3 linked regions of the Alligator mississippiensis genome follow. The protein of the gene in region 2 binds, or shares a complex with, the protein of the main gene of each other region. Links are inferred from orthologs where the notes say so. Each region holds a gene or a part of one and is shown on either strand. Other genes may lie near its edges.

Region 1 (7,108 bases), on a different chromosome or scaffold from region 2:
CCAGACACAGCCTGCCAGGCCATTCTATCCAGCTCACGGGGCCCGTAAAAAACATAAAAAGTTAATATTTATCTGCCCCTGGCTGCCTGTCATATGGCCCTGGATGTCTTGCCAAAACTCAGTAAGCGGCCCTTTGCCCGAAATAATTGCCCACCTCTGGTCTAACAGTTAAGGGACTGGAGTTGAACTATGTGCCACAATTTCTGCCCCTGTCAAGTGGAAATAACTCTTTCCTCCAAGGCCCAGCCCCGGGATACTTCAAGGATGTTTGTGATGCACTCAGACACTCTGCTGTTCAAGTTTGTAGATTGGGAAAGCAAATGTTTACATCAGGGGCATGTGAAACACCCAACTGTTTTCCAAAACTAAAAAGAAGGAACAAAACTTGGGCACACTGAGATCATTTCCAGTTGAAGTACAGACATCCAGGTCAGAATCAATCAAGTGATTAAAAAGACTGCATAAAGTAAACTCTCTCAGTAGTTTATTTTAGCTTTACTTCTACCTGGGAAATAAAAACCTAGGAGAGAAGCTGGTTTCACACTCATGCATTCCATCTTTCCACCTCAATAGCACCTCAAACAGGTTTTCCTACCTTCTTTAACCTTTTCCCAGCTAGTTCTTTCAAAAAGCTATTAACTCTGTATCCATTTTTAATGTTTCCTCTCTCTTCCTTACCCATCTCCCCCACATACCATGTCTCTCCTTTCTATCCCTAGCTCCTTTCATTCCTTCCTCTTCTACCCCTTCTTCTTGGTGGACTTTAATCCCTCTCTCCACCTTTAGTGCTAGTCTGGCCTTCAGAAGGAAGTTATCTATAGCCTGCCTATCCACAGAAGATAAAAATTAGGGAACTTCCAAGTCCCAGCAAGAAATCCTCCCTTTTCTTTTAGCTAGGGTGGTACAAGTCCTCTGTCTCTAAAGACAGGGTCTGCCCTTGACTTTCCTGAGGACTGTGACCAGATCCTGCATTCTTGTGGGACACCACCCAGGGGAACCTCATATCCTCTGACCACTCCCTCAATTAGTCCAAGTCACCCCTGCCCTCCCTCTCAAAGAGATTCTTGTGTCAAATGTCTCTCCAAAGTCCCACAGTCCATTTCTACTTCCAGGAAGTTCACCGCAAGAAGATGGATTGTTATAAAGCAGCAACAGACTTGTTCTTTGGAAACTGCTGCTAATGTGACAAAACTGCTCCAGCACCCCAATGATTTTCTCTGTGGGCCAAATATGCAGCTTTAACCAGTTAAAATAGAAAATTTCTGGAAGCGGAGTCTGAGGCAAACCCTATCTAAACCAGAGATGATATCCTTCCCCCACCAAGCCCTCAGTTCAAGGGAGCTGCTTTAAGCACTGCATAGTCTTATGCCAAGGTCACATCTGCATGCAGCCCAAAATTCTCCTATCAAACTTCAGGCTGCCCCAACCATGCTCTCAGGGCCACCAAGAAGCATTTGCTAGGAAGGCAGGGAACAGTGTTATCTGGCCAAATTTTTGTAATTAATTCTCCCCTACCCAAAGGGAGGTAGACAATCACAGCAGCCTGGGAATCCTACGGTGCAGATCAGCTGAAGCAGAGCCTACTGCTGCGTTTCCTGCTGGAACTGCCACTATAGATTTCATAAACGTTAGGGCTGGAAGGGACCTTGTAAGATCATCAGGTCCAGCCCCCTGCCCAAGGGGCAGGAAGTCAGCTAGGATCAAAAGATCCCAGAAAGATAAACATCCAAACGTTTCACGAAAGTGTTCAGAGTAGGTGCTTGCATCACTTCTGAGAAGAGCGTGTTCCAGACCTTGGGGGCTTGGACAGTAAAGAAGTTTTGCCTTACGTTCAGCCTAAAACGGCCTTGCAGGAGTTTGTGACCGTTGGACCTTGTCATCCCTTGGGGCGCTCTGGTGAACAGGCGTTCCCCCAGTTCCTGGTGCACACCCCTGATGTACTTACAGGCGGCCACCAAGTCACCCCTGAGCCTGCGCTTCTCCACGCTGAAGTCCCATGGCTTGCAGCCTCTCTTCACAAGGCCTGTTCTCTTGCCGTCTGATCATGCACATGACTCTCCTCTGGACTCTTTCAAGCTTCTCCATGTCCTTCCTAAATTGTGGAGCCCAGAACTGGATGCAGTACTCCAGCTGCAGCCTCACCAAGGCCGAATACAGCAGGAGAAACATCCTGGCTCTTGCTTGAGATGCGTCAGTAGACGCAAGCCAGGGTTTTGTTCGCTTTGCCAACTGCAGTATCACACTGGTGGCTCATATTCATCTTGTGGTCAATCATGACCCCCAAGTCTTTCGGTCACAGTGCTAGCGAGTGTAGCACTGCTGAGCCTATAAGTGTGATGTGGTCCATCCCCTCCCCGCTGAGGTGGAGCACCCTGCATGTCTATCATGGCCGCTCTCCAAGTGCTTCTCTGGCTACAACAGGCCACTGCAGACAGGCTAATCACCCACCTCACAAGTGAAGACTGCTTATGACGCACCGGTGCCCGAGCCACACGCAGTTCCCCCTGGATGGGAAGGGTAATAGGAAGCAGAGGCAGACTTACTTTTTCATGATCTGAATTTCATGGCACCACCGGTCCTTGTTTTTCACACTGAGCTCCAGACGGCAGGATTTAATCGCCACCTTCTCACCGGACTCCTGCAACACAAGAGCTGGGGGTGACTGGGCAGGCCACCGGGAGGGAAGGGGGTCACCGCTGGGGTCTGTTTCATTTCACCCCTTTCTCTGTAGCCTTTTTCAGGACAGTGGCACAAAAGCCAAACTAATTAGCAAACCAGCTGCATGCAGCCACAACGAGCACCCCTGGGTCCAGCACCCACCCACTGGACCGCGGGGGCCCCGGGATCCGCGCCCGGGCAGTGTTTGCGCAGGAGGGGGGGCAGGGGCGGTCTCCATGGCAACAGCCCCGGGCCCCGCCCCCGGCCACACCTGGTGCTGGTAGAGGCAGACGTTGCCGAAGCCGCCCGTGCCCAGCCGCTCCCGCATGTCCCAGGGGCCGCAGCCGCCGCTCGGCTGCCCGCGCAGCGCCGCGCCCACGCCCACGGCGCCCCGCTCCATGGCGCCCCCCTGAGCCGCCGCCCGACCCCGGCCACGACCCCGACTCCGGCCAGCCGGAAGTCAGCGGCTCTCGCGAGATCTCCTCCGCGAGAGCCGCCCCGGCCCTGAGCCGAGCCCCGCCCTGCGCTTGTACGTCACAGAACCGCGTCCTCCCCCAGCGGCCCAGGGGGCGGGGCTGGCGCCGGGCGGCCTCCAGCTATCCCACCATGCACTGCGTTCAGCACAGGCAGCTGGTGGGGGGCCTCACCCAAAGGCCTTGGGGTGGGAGCTGATGCAGGCCCGGGAGCCCTCCTGCCCCAAGCACCTGGTGGTGGGTCACCTCACATCCTGCCAGCAACCAGCACTGGGGGCCAGGGGAGCAGCATCATGCCCTGACTTGGCCCCTCCCCACGCTGCCAGGGCCCCTGCGCCCTGGCTTGGTTTAAGGCACAATGGAAACCAACCACAAACTTACCACCATTTTTGTGCCAAATTTGGATCTGTGGCTGAAGGACTAGACTCTTAAACCATCCCCGAGTCCCATCAGTGAGCCACGGCTGAACGGAGAGATTGTTCCTGCCACCTTAAACAGAGGGATCCTCGAACAGAGGGATCGTTCCTGCCACCGACATACTGCCCTGCATGACAATTAACCAGACATTTTACTTGCTCGCCTCCCAAGGACAATATCAGAGCCCCCCCATTGCAACCAATCTCACGTGTCCCATGCAAGCAGCCTGCCTCACTGCTGTGGCCCCTCCAGGCTGACAAGACCAAGCACAGCAACAACTCGGTCCCAGAGGAGGGAACTGATCTCGCAGTCCGGGGTCAGATCGACGTTCAACATGCACGCAGCTCCAGCCAGCAAGATAATAGCGTGCATCAGAGGACCACAAGGGAAATGGCAACTCGATTATGTGACCGTGGGTGGACCCGGTGCTGGTCTCAGTGCAGAGATCCCAAGCAGCAGGTCACAAAGACGGAAGGAAAAACAAACGGTTGGGTGAATAAAGTCTCGTGTCGCCACTACGAGGCACCATCACACATCTTTGTTGTCAGCAACACAGCAAACCTGAGGGGCACCACAGCAGTTCACACTGAGGACTTGGCCATGACCAGTATCGAACAGACACAGCCCTCCCAGGCCAGCACATCCACCCTGGTAAGTCCCAGCCCTTTCTACTGCCGCTGGTGCTCCCCCAGGAAGTTGATATGGGCTCAGACAACTACAACCAGGAGGTTCCTGCATCCTACTATATTCAGCATCCTAGCCACCTATCCCCCTCAAGCAGTGATTCTCAACCAGGGTGCCAGGGCACCCTGAGGTGCCTTGAGATCCTTTCAAGGATGCTGTGCAATGTTAGCACTGTTAGGTGTGCAGATGTGATTCATGAGATAACTCCAGAGGTTTCAAGTAGGAATCCATAACATTAAAAGTATTCTGACTCGTTGTGGTCTTTCTGAGTTCTTTGGAATAGAAAAAAACACCAAACACTCTATTTTTCCGTTGTCAGAAACAAATGAAAACTTAGAACTGGCATTTTCTGATGTGCGTCTCAAGTCTATTAAGTGATGCTTCAAGACTAAAAAGGTTGAGAACCACTGCACTAGACAGACCAGGTACTCCAGAAGAACCAGCTCTCTACCTCCCTGTGCTAGTGTGAGGGGAGGGGAGTGGAGGCTGGGAGGGTAAAGTGGGGCTGGGGCAACAAACCCAACTAACCCCCCCAGCCCAGCACAGGGAATGCAGGGGGCTAGCAGGTTAAGCTGCAGACCAAATCCAGCTGCCTTGAGTGGAAATGGTCCCCCTGCCAACACTTCCCAACTCCAGCCTCATTCCCAACCCCCTTACAGTGCTAGCCCAGCAGCACTCAGCCAATGATTTGCCCCCAACCCCCTTGCCACCCAAGACAGACCGGGCTTATAAATGCCCCTCCAGCATCCCCCACCCCTGCATGAGCTGAAAAAGACTACATGAACCATTGCATTCAGATTACACTGTTTACTGGGGTCTGGTACTTCATTACAAACATATCAAGTGTTTTTGACAACAGACAAGAACTGAGGGATGTGCAGAATGGCAGGGTCTCTTGGTCCTTGGGTTCTGCACCACAGAGCTGCTCCCAGCACCATGCCCTGTGATGAGCTGAAGGGGGGCAGAATGGGGAGAGGGGGAGCATGAGTCAGAGCAGCAGCACAAATGTGAAGGACATTGAAGCACAATCCCTCCTGCAATGATTTTACCATCCCCATCCAGTTACCATTCTCCACCCACCCACTTAAAATTTCACCACCCACCACTTTGAACAACCAGTGGAGAGGCCCCATCTACAGTACACTTAAGTCATGACTTAGCTGATTAATCATGTCTTAAGTGGTCACCCGGCCACATGTTCAGTTACTGGCATGATTAAAAAAGAAAAGAAAAAAGCTAGGAAGTTATTCTACAAAATTTGTAGCAACTTTGCAGCTGCACCTATCATGCCATTACTTAAATGTGTAGCCAGGGGGCCCTGTGACTAAGAGCCCCGTCAGCTGAGCAAAGCTCCTAGCTGCAGGAAGCCATGTGTACCCCCATGGCTCGGAGCCCTGCCAGCTGAGGGGGCTCCTGGCTGCAAGCTTGCTTCTTGCCCATGCAGGGGGAGCCTGGGATTGGGTTCCCCCTGCACCAGCAATAAGGCATGATGGGATCTTATCCATACCACAGTCACACCTCCTGCAAATGCACATGTAGCACAGCTGGACAGGTGATTGTGCATTAGATCCCACTGCACCCTTACCTGAACCAGAAGAGCAGCCCAGAAGGACCAGGCGTTGTGCATGCTGGCCATAGTCTGCCTGTTCTCTCAGGCCCCCTGCAGCAGAAGGGCAGCAGTATACTCAGCCACCTTGTGAGCCACTTTAGAAACAAGATACGTTTCAGTGGTGCGATTTCTTTGCTGAGAGACATGCTGCAGTACACCCTGAGCGACACCAACTGCATCATATGTTTCCACACTCAGGGCAGTGCAGTCTGGGTCACTGCAGATGTCAGGTCTGCTTAGGCCACGGCAGCAATCTTGCCACCCCCCACCAGCTCCCTCCTGATAATGTCCTTTCCTGGACCATGTGCTCACCCATGACAACTGCTCCAAAATTTATCTGACTGTGGCAGGACCAGCCTTGCCCCAGCCCCACAGACAGGTCCTACGCTATTTGTGTACCATCAACACCACTCCAGGGCCTCAGCTGCATCCAGCACTGCTTGAAGCTTGCCTAGGAAACCAACCAACCAGACCACAGAGAGAAATAGAGTTTATTCCTTTGATTAAAAATCTCAGCAAAAAGTACAGCCTGCTCCAGGGCTCTGGTCCTCCTGCTGTCAAATAGACTAAGAAGGGAAATCCTTTGCCCCATTATGCCTTGCAGTTGGACTGTTCACTTTTAACCTCAGTTCTGCACAGGAGTTGAGTCAGACCAGAGCGAAACTCAGCAACAAGTACAGTGTTAAAATGAATGATGGTGATGAACAGGAACAGGACAGCAGTGCTCTTGGCAAGACAGTCCTACCACTGAGTGCTTCCCACTGGAAAAGCAAAGTTACTGCAGCAAAGAAAAGTCAAAAGGTTCAAAGTCCTCTCGAAAGGCTTTGGACAATGCCTCCTCCTCTTCTCTGGTGGACTTGCACTGCCTCCAGTCTGCCCGATCTGGAATATTCAGGATAGCTTCACTAGCCAGGACTTCCCTGTAACCAAAACAATCAGCTGCAGAACTGTTGCAATCTTTGAAGTGCAAGCACATTGCTAGAAATAATAAGACTACAAAATCAAGTACTGTGGGGGCTATCTAAAGACTCATGTTGAATTTAATAGAAAAACTGCCATTTAATTCACGGGGAACGCATCTGAATTGCATTTGAAAGGAAGCAATTCTTATTATTAATTTAGAAATAGGTCTATATAGAGGCATTACCTGCTTCTTTGCTAAAAAGGACAATTTACTGGTAAAAAGTAAATGCAACTAAGACAATACTTTGTACAAACATGATTCTTAATCTCCACACTGAACTTTTCCAGTTCAAACATTTTAAAA
Region 2 (6,972 bases):
CTCAGCCTCCTCCTTGAGCTTGTCGATCAGCTCCTGCTTGGCTACCAGTGCCTCTTCTGCCTGCTGCAGCTGCTGCGACAGCTCATCCAACTGCCACTCTAAGGCCTAGATAGGTACATGTGGTCTATGCTGCTGTCCCCTACCACCCTGGTGATGCAGCCCCAAGGCCAGGAGGATGACCCACAAACACGCGTGCCCCTGCTGGGGACCCACCTGGGCCCTCTTCTCGCCCTCTATGCTGTTCTTGATGTGGCTGTCATATTCCTGGAAGAGCTGGTGATAGGCCACCTGCAGCTGTGCCAGCTTCCGTCTGCAACAAGCAGACCATGGGGGTGTTAAAGGCAGCAGGTTGGACCTTTTCCACCAGCTCCAGCTCTGCCACCCCCAGCAGGTCCTCCTGGCATCCTTCCCACCTACCCCCCGCCTCACTTCTCCTCCGTGGCGCCCTGCCGCTCCACACGCAATGCTGTCTCCAAATTCTGGGCCTGTAGCCGCAGCTGGTCCAGCTGCACCCCATGCTGCTCCTGCAGAGCCTCCACGTCCCCCTCCAGCCGTCGGCACTGTTCCACAGCTGTCCGTGCCCTGCAAGGAGGCAGGGTATGAGCCAGTGCCCAGCCTTGGAGGTACCCTACACCCCCTTCGACACACTCACCGCTCTGCCAGTGCCTGCTTCTCATGCATGCAGGTCTCCAGCCGGCTCTGGCTCTCTTGCAGCTCACCCAGCAGTGAGGTCACCTGGGCCTTCACCGAGACCCTGTCTTCTGTCACCTGCTGTGGGGAGCAGCTGAGGCTGCATCAGCCCCAGCCTGCAGAGGCCCAGCTTGGATGCCCCTGCCCCAAGGGTGAGAGGGTAGTACTCACCTCCAGCTGCTTTCTTAGGGCCTGGAACTGCTGCTCTGTCTCCTGCCCCTGTGCTTTCAGTTGGCTCAGGTCCTCCCTGGCTGATGCCAGCTGCTGCTTCAGCTCAGCACACCTGGGGAAAGGGGGGGGGGGGGTGATAGTGACTGGTACAGTGCACCCATACTGCCTACCCCCCTTCCCCCAGGGATTCCATGGCACCCCCTGGGCTCCACTCAACACACTTGTTTTCAGTTTCCTCTAGCTTCCTGTGCAGCTCCTCAGCCTGGTCATCTCTGATCCTGGATTTGGGGTGGGGGGGGCAAGACAAAAGGGTGAGGAGCCCCCAGAGGGGGTTGCCTGCTTCACAGACACAGCCATCCTGCCCCCAACCCCTGTGCCTTTTCCCAAAAGGAGGCAACTGAGTGATCCAGGATCATCCCTCATCTTTGGGGAGTGGAAGGAGCATGGTGGGGCACCTGCAGGCTTCTTCCAGCCCCCCACTCAACACATGCATGGTTCTTACCTGTTGTTCCCAGCCCCTTGCAAGGATTCAGTCTTCAGGAGCTGCTCAGCTAGGGTACCGCTCTCCTGAACACACCAGAAACTGTTCAGCGCTGGCCCCAACCCCCATCACCAGCTCAACTGCCTGCCCTCCCCCCCCAGGAACAGGTGTCATGTCCTGCCACAAGGGGCCACGCTGCCTCCCTCAGTGGCCCCATCTCAGCTCACGGAGACAGGAGTCAGCCCAGATGCCTCCAGACCGCACCTCCAATACCCTCACCTTGACCAGCAGCCTCTGCTGCTGGGTCTGGTTATGCAGTGGCTTCTCTCCCAACAGGAGAGTGTCTGCTTCCTTCAGCACTGCCTGGTTCTCCTTGCTACGGTCAAGAGCCTGGGGGAGAGGGGAAGCAGGGTGGCAGGCAGGGGATGAAGGCCAGACATGTGTGCACCCCTGCAGTGGCTGCCTGTGTTCCCTCCAGCATCTTCTGCTGGGAGACAATAGGCCTAGCCAACCCCTCCCCTCCTCCCAAGCCCCCCCAGCCAGATCCCTTCCCCCTCAGCTGTTTAGGGGGATATGGAGCAAAGTTAAGATGGAGACAAACACGGGCACAGCAACCCAGACATCTAGGCTCATGCAGAACCTCTGGCCCCAGAAGCACTCACCATCAGCGCTACAGGCGTCTCATGGGTGAGAGTCACGGTGTCAGCCTCATCCAGCCCAGCTGGCTCCAGGGTGCATAGCAAGGATGGAGGCTGGGGGGGAGAATGAGACAGTGTCTCGGAGACCTTCTCCACGTGCCCCCAAGGAAGAGGGTGAGTGGGAGTGAGGGAGACCCACAGCATGACCCAGACCCCCAGTACCTGGCAGGCGCTGCGCAACCACTCAAGCTGTCGCCGCACCTCCAGCTGTTCATTCTGCAGCTGCTGCACCAGGGTGCGGGCCTCATGGAAGCGCAGCAGAAGGAAGTCACGCTCCTCACGCCGCATGGCCTGAACTTGCTGGAACTCCTGGCATCGCAGCCGTAGCGCTTGGTTGCCCTGCCGCAGAGCCTCTGCCAAGCCACGGGGGGAGCACAGAGGTGTCAGGACCCAGCCACACCCTCCCTGGAGCACCCTTCACCGGCCCCCAGCGCCACACTTTCACCAGCCCCAGATTGGGGAGGGGGGTTGCCGCTGCCCAAAGGCACTGTGGACTGCGTGCTCCTTGCCTGCTGAGGCCTCTTCAGGGGCACCGGGGAGGCCAGGCCGAGGCCGGAGCCTGGGCCCAGCCCAGGAAACAGCCGACGGCCGGGAGAGCCAGGTCGCGAGGGTGGACAGAGAATCCCCAGCCGAGCTCCCAACCCCCTTACCCTTGAGGTCCTGGTTCTCCGCGGCCAGGCGCTGCCAGGCCTCGGGGTCCGGCGCCTGGGGCAGGGCGTTGGCGTCAGCATCACCCGCGGGGCCGGCCCCATCACCGCCCCCGGGCGCCACCATGTCCGCGCTGCGCCGCCGGCGGGTCCCGCTCATCCAGCCCCGACGGGCCCCTTTGGGCGGAGGCGTGGGGGGGACGCCTCAGTTCGCTTGTTCTGGAATCAGGGCCCCGGACGTCTGGGTCCCACCCCTGTGGCGGGGCTCGGACGCTCAGGCCCCACCTCCAGGTGGGGGGAGGTCTGCCGCGATACCTGGCCGCTCTTGCGCCACTCCCGGCCCCGCGCCGTACTTCCTCCTTCCGGTCTCGGTGTTTTGTTTACCCCGGAAGTGTTACTAAGACGACCCGGAGCCGGAAGGAAGTTGGGAAGGGGCGTCGGGAGTTCAATGCACCATAGTCGGGAACTTCCGCCTCGGTATCTGTCATGGTGGTGCAGAGCGTGAGGCTGTGATGTCAGAGGCTTTGTGACAGCTCTCCCCGCGCCTCCCTTCCCTAATCTGGACGCTAGGTGGCCTAGCCCGGGAGAGCGGGGTTCAGTCGCGGGGCGAGCCAACCGATCGGCTTCGTCGCTGATTGGCTGGAGCGGAGAGGCAGGTCCGCGCTGGCTGCGAGGCGTGGCCGCAGCCTTGGCAATGGGGAGCCGCGAGCGGCGCCGCGACCCTGATACCGGCCACGGTCTGGATTCTTCTACGACTCCGACTCCGCAGCGGGCAGGTAGCAGCGGGTGCATGGTCCCCTCCCGCGGGGCGGGGCGGGGCTTGGGCACCTGGTCCCTTTCCCGGGGGACGGGGGATCCCGGACACGTGGGCCCTGTGGTGATGGCCCCTGCCCGAGTACCGTTGCGCTGGGGCTTCTCCGCTCCCTCCTGCCCCAGCCGAGCCCGCCCGCCACTTCCTCCTTTCCTGCCCCCCTTCCCCTTCTGCTTCCCCTTTCCCCTTCTGCCCCACCCCCACTTCCCTTTTCCCCTCTGCGCGGCCCAGCCCTTCCCTTCTCTTCTCTAGCCCGGGCCTGTTGCAACAGGTGGGACCTACCTGGTTGGCCCGGCCGGGCCAGGCCAGGTGCCCCACCCCCGGCGCGTGGGCATGGGCCAGGCTGTCCCTGCTACACACCCCATTTCTTGCCCATCAGACCACACCATGGCCAAGCCACAGGAGCTCAGCCGCTCACAGGTGTGCGGGATGCTACGCCAGGAGCTGTGCCAGGGGCAGGACTTCCACCCCACTGATGCACATGTCTTTGTCATCCTTGGTGCCTCTGTGAGTAGTTCCCCTGTTGCCCCTGTCCACTGCTAGGGCCCCAAGCCCAGGAATGGTGTTGGGGTCAGGGCCTGGAAGCAGCCCCCGAGCTTAGGGCCCTGGAGCATGGCAGGGGCATCTCCATGGGGCCGTGCCCCTGCCCTCCCCCTGCATACCACCAGCCCCAGATGTGTGTGCCTGCCCCCTCCAAATACTACTAACTTCTGGCCCGGTCTCCTGCCCCCAGCACCCTCTGCCCCATGGCCAGAACAGTGCTCTTCTTTCCCTGGGGGGTTCCCACTGTCTCCCAAGAGCCTCTCCCTGTTGAGGGGGGTTGGGAGGAGTGACAACCTCCTCTGCTTCTATACTGCTTATTTGTGCACACAAGGAACTCAGGTATCCAGGATGCAAACCAGTTCTCCCTCTCTGCTGTGCCACGCTGGGGGCTGGGAGTGAGGTTGTGACCCTGGGAGGGTAGCTCCTAGCACCTGGGTCCACATATCCACATAAGAGAAATAACCAGGCACTCCCTAGGGGACCCAGGCTTTCAAGGGCTGGAGCCAGGCATGATGCAGCCCTGGGGTGGTGGAGATGGCCTGACCCCTTCTCCCTCCCACCAGCCTCGCAGGCTGGTGCTTTCAAACCCATTGCCCTGAGGTCACCCTCCCACCCTAGGGGAGCTGGTGCCTCCCACCTATGCCATCTGTGCCTCATGCTGCTGCTCCAAGCGTGGCCCCAGCAGGAGATTTTGGGTGGGTGGAGGTGGGGAGCGGACAGAGGGTACCCTGAGCACCCATTGCTGGGGGTGTCAGGGGAGCCTGGCTCTGCTAAGTCACCGTGAGTGCAGTCCTTGTGTCCCAGCCTGCCCCAATTAGCATGGGCCATGGAGCAACACACACACACCCCCTCTCCGTGGAAGCTACATACAGCTTCAGGGGCAGGGGATATTGGGAGAGGGTCTAGGACATACTGAGCCCTCCTTCCTGAGCCAGGATTGGGACCAGAGAAGCCTGGGGGCTGGGCAGTCAGCCAGCCAGTGCCCTGGGTAGGGGGAGGTTCTCCCTTGCCTTGAAGTGGGGAAATGGAGGCAGCCCTGGAGCTGGGCCTTGGGACCCTCCTCCCCCACCCCAGGCAGGTTTGGTGAGCTGTTGAGTGTTTGTGGTAGATAAAGGGCAGATAAAGGAGGTGCCAACACCCAGTGAGTCTCTGGCTGCCAGGGGATGCCTGGCTTCTTGCCAGCACCACCCCCCCATGCTTGCCTTTTGTCCAGGGCCCAGCCCCCTTGACTCAGCAGATTCCCATTGCTTAGCAATCCCAAATCTACCCCTTCCCTGCCCCTGGGCAGGCACAGCCTGGCATCAGTCCCAGTCCTATTGGGTGGCGTGAGAAGGCCGGCCACTGTGGGCGGGGGTAAGCTGCCCTGACCTAGATAGAGGCACAAAAGTCTCACAACAATGGGGCCAACAACAGTGCTGTGTCAGGAGAGGGGAGCAGGGTACAGCCCTTGGGAAAGGGACTGGGTTGGAGGGATCCTGGGCTGTGCCCCATTGTGATACCCCCCCCCCCCCCCCCCGCTTTTCTCTCTCTCTCTCTCTCTCTCTCTCTCTCTCTCTCTCTCTGTCCCCAAGGGCGACCTGGCCAAGAAAAAGATTTACCCAACAGTCTGGTAAGTGCCGATCCCTGCCCCCCATCCCTCTCCCAGCATTCCCACAGCCCTAATACACTGCCCCCTTCTACCACAGGTGGCTATTCCGTGACGGACTTCTGCCTGATGACACCTACGTTGTTGGCTTTGCCCGCTCTCAGCTCACCGTGGCTGACATCCAGCGTCAGAGCGAGCCCTACCTCAAGGTGGGCAAGCCCTACCTCTGTTCCTGCCCCAGAGCTGGGGTCTTGAGGGGGTGGATCCTGCAGCAGGGTGTTGGAGGTGGGAAGCTGTTTTGGGGTCCTCCCATGCCCTGGGGCTGGGCTCGTGTGTTGGGGTCTGGGTTCCTCTAGTGACAGGGCTTCTCCCCATGTGACAGGTGGTGCCAGAGGAGCGGGAGAAGCTGGAGGCCTTCTTCGCCCGCAACAGCTATGTGTCAGGGCGCTATGATGAGCCCGCAGCCTTTGCCCACCTGGACGCCCACCTGCGCAGCTTGCCCAAGGGCAGCCAGGCCAACCGGCTCTTCTACCTGGCCCTGCCCCCCAGTGTCTATGAGGATGTCACCCACCACATCAAGGAGGCCTGCATGGGCCAGGGGTGAGGTCGGGGGGCAGCAGGCCTGTGTGTGGCAGGCATGAGGTGCTGGGGGCTGAATGAGGGGGTGGAGGCAGGCCTGTGTGGAGTGTGGGCTGGGGAATGATATGGAAGGGGTCTATGTGGGGTAGGGGCAAGGGGTCAGAGGGCACAGGGCTGGTAGTGAGGGGCTGGGGACTGAATGGGGCAGGCCTGCATGGACCAGGGGTAAGGGGGTGGTGGCTGATGGGGAGGCAAATCTGTGTGGGGCAGGGGTGAGGAGCTGGGGAGCAGAGGTGGGGGTCAGAGGCCATGGAGCTGGAGGATGAATGGAGGGTGTGTATGAGCCAGGGGTGAGGAGCCTTACGGGGGTGGGGCTGGCAGGAAATCACAGGGCGGGGAGATGGGTGGCAGGGTTCAGGGCCAGCCCAGGCTGCAACCACACGTAACATGCCCCCTCCACCCCCTTCTCTAGGAGTTGGACACGGGTAATTGTGGAGAAGCCATTCGGCAAAGACCTAGCAAGCTCAGACAAGCTGTCAAACCACATCGCGGGGCTCTTCCGTGAGGACCAAATCTACCGCATCGACCACTATCTGGGCAAGGAGATGGTGCAGAATCTCATGGTGCTCAGGTCAGCACAGGGGAGGCCAGTCCTTGGCTGTGGGGACATGAGACCCCAACCCCTCCTATAGCCCTTCACGCACCCTGTGCTTTCCTCCTGGGCAGGTTTGGGAACCGGATCTTCGGGCCCATCTGGAATCGGGACA
Region 3 (7,899 bases), on a different chromosome or scaffold from region 2:
TCTCTTTTTATGACCAAGTTACAAAACACTTGGATGCAGGAGTAGGGGTTCACATTGTCTACTTAAGACTTCAGGAAGGCCTTCGATAAGGTATCTCCCCCCATACTGGTGAACAAATTAAGAGGCTGTGACTTGGATGATTACACAGTCCGGTGGGTGGCAAACTGGCTAGAGGGTTGTACCCAGAGAGCAGCGGTGGACGGGTCGGTATCGACCTGGAAGGACGTGGGCAGTGGGGTCCCACAGGGCTCGGTCCTTGGACCGATACTCTTCAATGTCTTCATCAGCAACTTGGACAAGGGAGTGAAGTGTACTCTGTCCAAGTCTGCGGATGTCACAAAACTGTGGGGAGAAGCGGACACACCGGAGGGCAGGGAACAACTACAAGCAGACCTGGACAGGTTGGACAAATGGGCAGAAAACAACAAAATGCAATTTAACAAGGAGAAATGCAAAATGCTGCACCTAGAAAGGAAAAATGTCCAGCACACCTACTGCCTAGGAAATGACCTGCTCGGTAGCACGGAAGAAGCAGAAAGGGATCTCAGAGTCCTAGCGGACTCCAAGATGAACGTGAGTCGTCAGTGTGACGAAGTCATCAGCAAAGCTAACTGCACTTTATCGTGCATCAGCAGATGCATGACAAACAGAACCAAGGAGGTGATACTTCCCCTCTATCGGGCACTGGTTAGACCACAGTCGGAGTACCGCGTCCAGGTTTGGGCGCCGCGCTTCGAGAGGGATGTGGATCACCTGGAGAGGGTCCAGAGAAGGGCCACTCATATGGTTAAGGGCTTGCAGGACAAGCCCTATGAAGAGAGACTGGGACACCTGGACCTCTTCAGGCTCCACAAGACAAGGTTGAGAGGCGACCTGTGGCTGCCCATCCATTCATCCTGGGGGCACAGAAGGGCATCAGTGAGGCTCTGCTCACCAAGATGCCCCTGGGGGGGTTACAAGAAATAATGGCCACAAGCTAGCAGAGAGCAGATTTAGACTGGACATTAGGAGGAACTTCTTCACAGTTCGAGTGGCCAAAATCTGGAACAGGCTCCCAAGGGAGGTGGTGCTCTCCCCTACCCTGGGGGTCTTCAAGAGGAGGTTAGATAGGCATCTGCCTGGGGTCATCTGAACCCAGCACTCTTTCCTGCCTATGCCAGGGGTCGGAGTCGATGATCTATTGAGGTCCCTTCCGACCCTAACATCTATGAATGGGAACATCCAGGGTCACAGCTCTACTTCCCTCAGGTGGAGAGGGCTAGCAGGACAGAAATGCCTGCCTTCCCACACAGGGATTGTCACAGGCCACGTGGCCCCTTACCAATGTCTGAGAGCAGCGTCAGGATGGCTTCCTCCCGCAGGCCGCAGCAGTTCTCCAGCTGGTTCAGGTACTGGAGGGAGCAAGGCAACATATCACAAATCTGCCGCACCCAGCCTACACATGCTACTTGCAAGCAGGAGCTTCTGTAGGGTCGGGACCTTTGCAGAATGATCAACTCAGACGTGCTCCAGACCTACCCTTTCCCTTCTCTGCCAGCTCCTCCAGCCAGCAACCCCTCCAGGGCCCATCCCCATATCTGAACACACTTGGCCCAACCAGCTCAGGACAAGGTCCCCTAATCATGGCCCTATCCTCTGAGCAAAATCTGTGCTGGGGCTGCTCACAAAGATTAAAAAAAAAAATTAAAAAAAAGATTGATCCAGCCCTATGTGTTTTTCCGCCCTGTGACCGAGAGGGGTTTATCAGTTCCCCACAGGACCCCACCCACTGGCACAACCTGCTCCATGACGTTCTAGGCCCTGCTCACATCCTGTTGTCTGTCTCTTGCACACGCCCGTGTGGGCACCCCGCAGGCTGACCCACACTGCCTACCCAGTAGAAATGGGAAGTGTTTACAGACCAAGGAAGGGGATGAGAACTCGTGCAGGACCAAGCCTGCCAAGGGCAGGGGAGGTGGCAGCAGGCACAGTCCTGGTGAGTGCAGGAAGACATGATGGCAACAGTGCATGAAAACTCAAGGGAAGCCTTTCATTTCTGCAGTGCTCGATGGCTATCCCGCCCATCCAGCCAGGGGCCCCACCTTGCGGAGGTCTCCCCCCTGGCAGTACTCCATGGCCAGAGGCGGAAGGTCATTCAGTGCCAGATTTTGCATCCCCTTGGGGACCTCACGGGCAGCAACCACGTTGGCGTGATTCAGCCTAGGGGAGGACAAGAGGGTAGAAGTGTGTGATGGCAGGAACCGACTCACCACAGGTTGCTCCTAGACAGGGTGCACGTGCAAACGCCTGAGCAATAGCAGCTGCACAGCGGAGGCAGGTGCACCCTGGGACAAGGACCCTGACCTTTTCATGATCTGTATCTCCAGGCACCACCGCTCCCGGTTGCGCGGGCTCAGCTCCTGGCGGCATTGCTTGATGGCGATCTGCTCCCCCGTGTCCTGGGCGGCACAAAGCAAACGCGCGCAACAACAACGGGTGAGCGCCACGGCCGTGCCAGGGCCAGCCGCCGAGCCCGCCCGGGCCATTCGAGCGACACGGCTCGGCAAGCGGCGCTCGCACGGGCCCGGCGCCGCGCGGCGAAGGTTACCAACTCTCCAATCTATCGTGGGAGGTTTCCAGCGTGCCCGCGACACGACGCTTGCGCGCATCGGTTACAGGTCGCGGCGCGCCGACTTTATGCCAGGAAGGCAATCGCACGCAGCCGCTACTTTTTAGGACGCTCCTGGACTACCACGCGAATCGGACCCCGTGTTTAATGAACGCGCTGACATTTGTGATGCTGGGAGCCCCCGGGGGGGATACCCAGGTCCTGAGGGTTGGCGCACCTTGTTCTGCCAGCGGATGACGTTGCCGAAGCCGCCCGTGCCCAGCCGCTCCTTCATCTCCCACGAGCCGCACGTCTGCGTCTGCAGCGATGGCGGCCGGCTCATGCTGCCGCTGCCGGGACAGGGCGGCCCAGCCAGGCCGGCTCAGCGGGGGCCGCACTCGCGCCGCGGACACGCGTGGGCGGGACGGGCAGGAGGGGGGGGGGGGCCGCGGTCTGCGGGGTCGGATTCGCTTCGCGCGCCGCTTCCGCACTGTGCCTGGCTCTGACGTCACGGCGGGGCCCGGCCACGCAGGCGCCGTAGCGCGGGGAAGGAAGGCGCGCTCGGCTCTCGAGCGCCCCCTGCGGGCCGGAGGTCGCGCTGCGCCCACGTGTCCTGCAGGGAGCGGCGCTGGTCCGGGGGAAGCAGCTGCGGGCAGGGCAGGGCAGGGGCGGTGGGTTGACGACAGCGCAGGCCCTGCTGCACCCAGGGACCCCGGAGCCACACAGCCCACTGGGTGGGGTGCCATGCAGGGTGGGGTGCCAAGGCAGGATGCGGTGGCATGCAGGATGCAGCGTGGCACAGGGTGTGGTGCCAGCTCGCCCCAGGAGCCCGCTGGCCCCAGGCAGCTAGTGACATGAGCTGCCTGCGGCACAGCAGGAGCCGGACAGGGCAGGCCACGGGCAGCGTTATGCTCCTGCAGGCCTGCCCTGCCTGGGCATCCTTCCAACCCCCAGGGCTACAGCACAGGGCCTGGGTCTCGCTGGCGCTCAGAGGGCGGCAGGTCCTGCCCGGCAGCCACCCAGCACCTGCTCCTGGACTTCGTCTACCCCCGCTTCCCCCTCCCGCCACCCATCCCTGCCACTTCTCACTGAACCTAGCCCCGGAGACTGGTTACCTGGGGGCCATCCGGGGCCTCATTCCACAGGGGTGACCTAGGAGGCCTGGGAGCCGCAGCCCTGAGTCACAGTTTCTTTTCCTCCAGCTAGCTCCGTCACTTGTTTGTCTTGTTCACACCCTGCAGCAAGAAAAAGGGGAAGTGGAGAGTGGAGGCACTTAGAGCTTCTCAAATGAGCTTTCACAGGGACAAAGAGCCCACCTCACTTGGGCCACCAGCGGAGGCTAAGCTCCCGCTCCTGTGAAGGCCAGTGCCCCTCCACTGTCTTCTGGCCAGGTGAGCTCCACCTGAAGCCAGGCAGATAGCTAGGGCCAGGGTCTGCCACACCTGCATAGCACCTCAGTCATGCCAGCTGAGGAATTCCCCCTTGATGAGCAAATCGGATGTGATGTGTCCATTCATTTGAGGACCCAGAGGAATGCAAAAGGGGGTGGCTGATTATGAAATTAGGAAAGGTTCGGGTATAGTAATGGGTAGCATAGGCAATGCTGACTTACATCACTGGGTTACTGGAAGGATTAGCTATTGTCAAACGTTTCCAAAAGAAGTTTCTACTACTACCAACTACTGGTCTGGAGGGGGGTCCAGCACAGATGGCACCAGCTGCCAATTACTGGGGTCATATTGGTAACATGTCCAGGCATGACTGCCAAGAAAGCAGCATCTCTGCGGTGGTAGGATCCGAACCTCGGAGCAGAGGGTAGCCTCAAGTTCAAGGAGGCTGGTCAACAAGGGGAAGTGGCTGCTGTACTCGCATGGGAGCTCAGGGACTAATGACATCCACAGATGCCGGCGCCCACCAGCTGAGCATCTTCAGTGCTCTGGGACAAAGGATGCTCACAAGCGCTCCAAGTACACCAGTACACCAAGCAGGGCAGGCCCCTCTTGACCCATTTCTTCTATGGTCAGAGATTATACACAGGAGATGACCTGCCATAGGATGTGAAATCAAGGGCTAAGAAGGGTCAGGTGGAAAAGGAATGTCAGAGAGGACTCAGGGTTCACTTTGAGAAAGGAAAGAGCCACATTTCATGTTGGACAGAGAGGGATACTGCTGGAAGGTGGTAGCAAGAAGAGGCCTGAAGCACTTCTGTGAGAAGTTGCTTCTTTTCTCAGAGGAGATAGGGCCAGCGAGGGGTTTGAGAGGAGGGTGGAGAGCAAGTGGTGGCTGGCGCAAACTGCAGAGTGCATGGAAATTATACTCCTCAGTCTGCCCAAGGGAAAGGAAATCAGGAGGGAGGGAGATCCAGGAGGCTTATAGCTAGCAGCCTATAAAGAGGCAGGGCCCCTGCTTACAGCCAGTGAAGAAAACAGGACCTTTGCTCAGTGGAGGAGTCCAGTTTCTCCCCGTCACAGGAAAGAGTGAATCCAGCTAGCATCACTGCTTTTCCAGGTGCCAACAAGTGCCAGGCACCTAGTTGGCAGCACGTAGGAGGAACTGTAACTGCAGCTGGGCAAGGTATGGGAGAAAAGAGTACTTTCCTGGGGGTGAGAGTCACAGAGGATCGTTTTTGGAGGGAGGGTCCCATCTATGTGCTAAGCGAACATGTCATGTACAGTGGCACTTCCTCTGACGTCCATTGGACTGTAAACTCCAGAAGGAGCACAATGTTTGCTTATACTTGTTAACAAACAGTGATCTGGCATGATCTCCATCCAAAGCATCTTTAAATTGCAACCTGATACCATCCTCCCCGCCCCAAAACACAAAGGGCTCCACTGTAACAGAGACAGCCTCCAGGCCTGGCACAGGAGATGTGGGGCACCTGTGCATACTGACTGGGTGCCCAGGACCCCATGGGATCATTACTTCTCCTTTGCTCCAGAGTCAAACTGCCAGTTCCCACAGCAAGAGCAATCTGGCTCTCTGCACGGACGCATGACACGAGGGGTCTCTTCACGCACATGGAGCTGGGCAGCAGGCCCCGCTGGCCGAGGAGATGCATTCCACACGGAGCAACATACGGGAAACGTGCAAATATGCGGAGACACAGGTGCAGAGGGAGGCATAGAGGGAGTTTATCAGAAAGGAGATATGTAGGCAAGCTAAACAAGCAAAAAAACAAAGATTACTGCTGCAGAGAAACACTGGAGCCAAACCTTCCCTGAGATGCAGGCACAAAACCTGCATCTGCTTTCTGCCAGGGCTCCTCGCAGGACATGGCTTGTCAGAACACGTAACACAATACCAACCACAGGCACTGTCTTCCTACCCAGAGCAGACCCTCAGCTAGGCCCCTAGCGCCGCACGGGTACACCCTGTGCTCAGCTTGGGATGCAATGTTTGGAATACGCCCTCACCATTTTCCTTGCAGCCTTCAGGAAAATGCCAAGCAACCCAGGCCAGCTCCACTCTCTTGAAGCATGAAAAGGTCAGCTCTAAATGGGCAGCGACTGCTCGGAAACGAGCTGCCCAAAACCGCGACAACCGTAACTCATTGCCAGCTGGTCCTCACAGGTCATAGTGAACCTCAAAAGCCGGTCTCTGTGTCTCACAATGGAGGTCACTGGCTGGTCCCTGCCCATCACTGTAGGGTACTGCTAAGACAAAGAGGTTCACTGAAGCTGCTTTTGCCCTACCCCATGCAAGGCAGCAATGGCACTTCCGTTTCTGTGATGTTGTAATCCTGCCCTTGGCTCTGTGGGGCAGCTCTGCTGTTCAGGGGCTGCCTCAGTTATTTCTACTTCAAAATCCTGCTTTGTCTAATTATTAAATGTACTTTCTCACAAGGGACTGAACAGCTGGGCTTGCCTAGACTAGTCTCTCCATGGTGGCTGCTGTCAACATGCCAGAGTTCCCCTGTGACCAGTACTGCAGGGATGTGGGTAAATGACAGAGTTGGTCACACATTTACAGTGAGGCTCCGAACCTCTTGGATAGGGGGGGGGACAGAAATTTAATGAGTAAGTAATTACAAAGAAGGAAAAGAGGAATTAGCCAAAGCACCAGACCCAGACAATGTGCATTTATGCCACGGATGCCCTTCCTCTCATCCAGTCATTGTCTTGTTCCCATGGTGGTTCAGAAAAGCTCCCTGTGCTCGACTCCCCACGCTCAGAGACTCCCTGTTCCCTCAGCCCCAGGGAACGGCCTGTGCTGGGCAGCAGGTAGCTAAAGGGCAAGACAGAGTACAATAAATAGCTGATGAGCTGCATCACCGAAAGAAGGATTCAGCTAAGTGTGCAGTGAAAACCCCCACAAATGTGACACAACGGGCATGGAGAGAAACCAGCTGCTGCCTGCCCAGCCCCCAGCTGCAGTCCAGCAAAGGATTCAGCTCCTGGTCGGCTGGGATTCCCCTGCGTGGCCCTCCCCAGATTCTGGATTAACCGTTGGAAGTTAATTGCTCTTGTTTCTAAAATCCAGATCCCAACCAAACAAGTCAGAACGTGTCTGTGTACAAAGACAAAACTGCTCCCTGCATCTGTGTCCTGTAGACAGAGAAGATTAAACATTCCACATCGCTTCAGGGAACCAACTGCTCCAGGGGTATTCGGGCCAGGCAAGAGCTCAGCTGGGGCAGGAACTGGCAAGCCAATGGGAAAGGAAAGCTGCTGCCCCCTGCCCCGCCCCAGCACATCACAGAACAATTGTGTGAAGCTCCCACTAATCCCAAGTCAGAGATCATGGAGCGGGGCAATAGAGGGAGGGAAAACAAAGGGACAGGAATTCAGAGCCAGCACAGCCTAAATGGAGTATCCAGGAAGCGTCCCAGGCTGCAGCCTGGCAACACTGTAATGCTGTTCCCAGGGGAGAGGGATGTGTTAATGATTCAAAGCCTCCCCGCTACCCCGAGAACTATTTGCTGAGCAGTGCAAGCTTGACCAGGCTGAGGTCTGCTAGAGAGACTGCAAAGAGGACTTCCAACAGCACACAGGCAACATTAAACTTTGCGTTTCGGTATTTTGGGGCGTGGAATGGCATGGCTCATTGCTTCATCAGCTACCAAGGCAGTATCTTTTATTGGACCAACAACAGGCAGTTAAAGATATGACTTCCCCTGACATTTCCAGGCTCTCACATCCTGGCTGCCCCAGCCCTAACTCCATATGAGAACAGCATTTATGGCTGCTCCTGTTACTCATTTACAGCACAACTGGCTTCCTCCTCTGGATCGGGGGAGCCAAGGCTGTCAGTAATTAATCATGGGAGCCAGGTAGCTCCAAGCAACAGCGCTCAACACAGGGTGAATCCTT

What was found.
Region 1: IKBKG (region 2) and CHUK share a complex: the UniProt entries of both Homo sapiens proteins name them as parts of the I-kappa-B-kinase (IKK) core complex. The link is inferred for Alligator mississippiensis from reciprocal best matches to the Homo sapiens genes IKBKG and CHUK.
Region 3: the proteins of IKBKG (region 2) and IKBKB are in contact, whole or in part, in a crystal structure (PDB 3BRV), measured with the Homo sapiens proteins. The link is inferred for Alligator mississippiensis from reciprocal best matches to the Homo sapiens genes IKBKG and IKBKB. Residues at the interface, in NP_001093327.1 of Homo sapiens: Arg62, Ile65, Arg66, Asn69, Leu72, Arg73, Arg75, Cys76, Leu79, Phe82, Gln83, Gln86, Lys90, Leu93, Met94, Phe97, Ala100, Arg101, Val104; in NP_001547.1 of Homo sapiens: Ser705, Leu708, Glu711, Ala712, Leu715, Cys716, Leu718, Leu719, Ala722, Ile723, Asp725, Thr726, Glu729, Gln730, Gln732, Phe734, Leu737, Asp738, Trp739, Trp741.

What each region holds. Positions count from the first base shown.
Region 1 is NC_081829.1:10,061,983-10,069,090, forward strand, and holds the start of CHUK (inhibitor of nuclear factor kappa-B kinase subunit alpha), read right to left. Parts: upstream 3,076-7,108; 5' UTR 3,059-3,075; coding exon 2,930-3,058; intron 2,639-2,929; coding exon 2,544-2,638; intron 1-2,543. Other genes in the region: CWF19L1 (CWF19-like protein 1), read right to left, coding at 6,617-6,761.
Region 2 is NC_081831.1:29,096,340-29,103,311, reverse strand, and holds the start of IKBKG (NF-kappa-B essential modulator), read right to left. Parts: upstream 3,067-6,972; 5' UTR 2,848-3,066; coding exon 2,691-2,847; intron 2,394-2,690; coding exon 2,203-2,393; intron 2,095-2,202; coding exon 2,005-2,094; intron 1,733-2,004; coding exon 1,622-1,732; intron 1,429-1,621; coding exon 1,364-1,428; intron 1,140-1,363; coding exon 1,083-1,139; intron 974-1,082; coding exon 862-973; intron 772-861; coding exon 653-771; intron 583-652; coding exon 430-582; intron 311-429; coding exon 214-310; intron 106-213; coding exon 1-105. Other genes in the region: G6PD (glucose-6-phosphate 1-dehydrogenase), read left to right, coding at 3,382-3,463, 3,878-4,005, 5,613-5,650, 5,727-5,835, 6,009-6,226, 6,678-6,836, 6,932-6,972. UniProt on the Homo sapiens protein: Regulatory subunit of the IKK core complex which phosphorylates inhibitors of NF-kappa-B thus leading to the dissociation of the inhibitor/NF-kappa-B complex and ultimately the degradation of the inhibitor.
Region 3 is NC_081830.1:17,229,609-17,237,507, forward strand, and holds the start of IKBKB (inhibitor of nuclear factor kappa-B kinase subunit beta), read right to left. Parts: upstream 3,091-7,899; 5' UTR 2,931-3,090; coding exon 2,826-2,930; intron 2,439-2,825; coding exon 2,344-2,438; intron 2,200-2,343; coding exon 2,082-2,199; intron 1,392-2,081; coding exon 1,322-1,391; intron 1-1,321.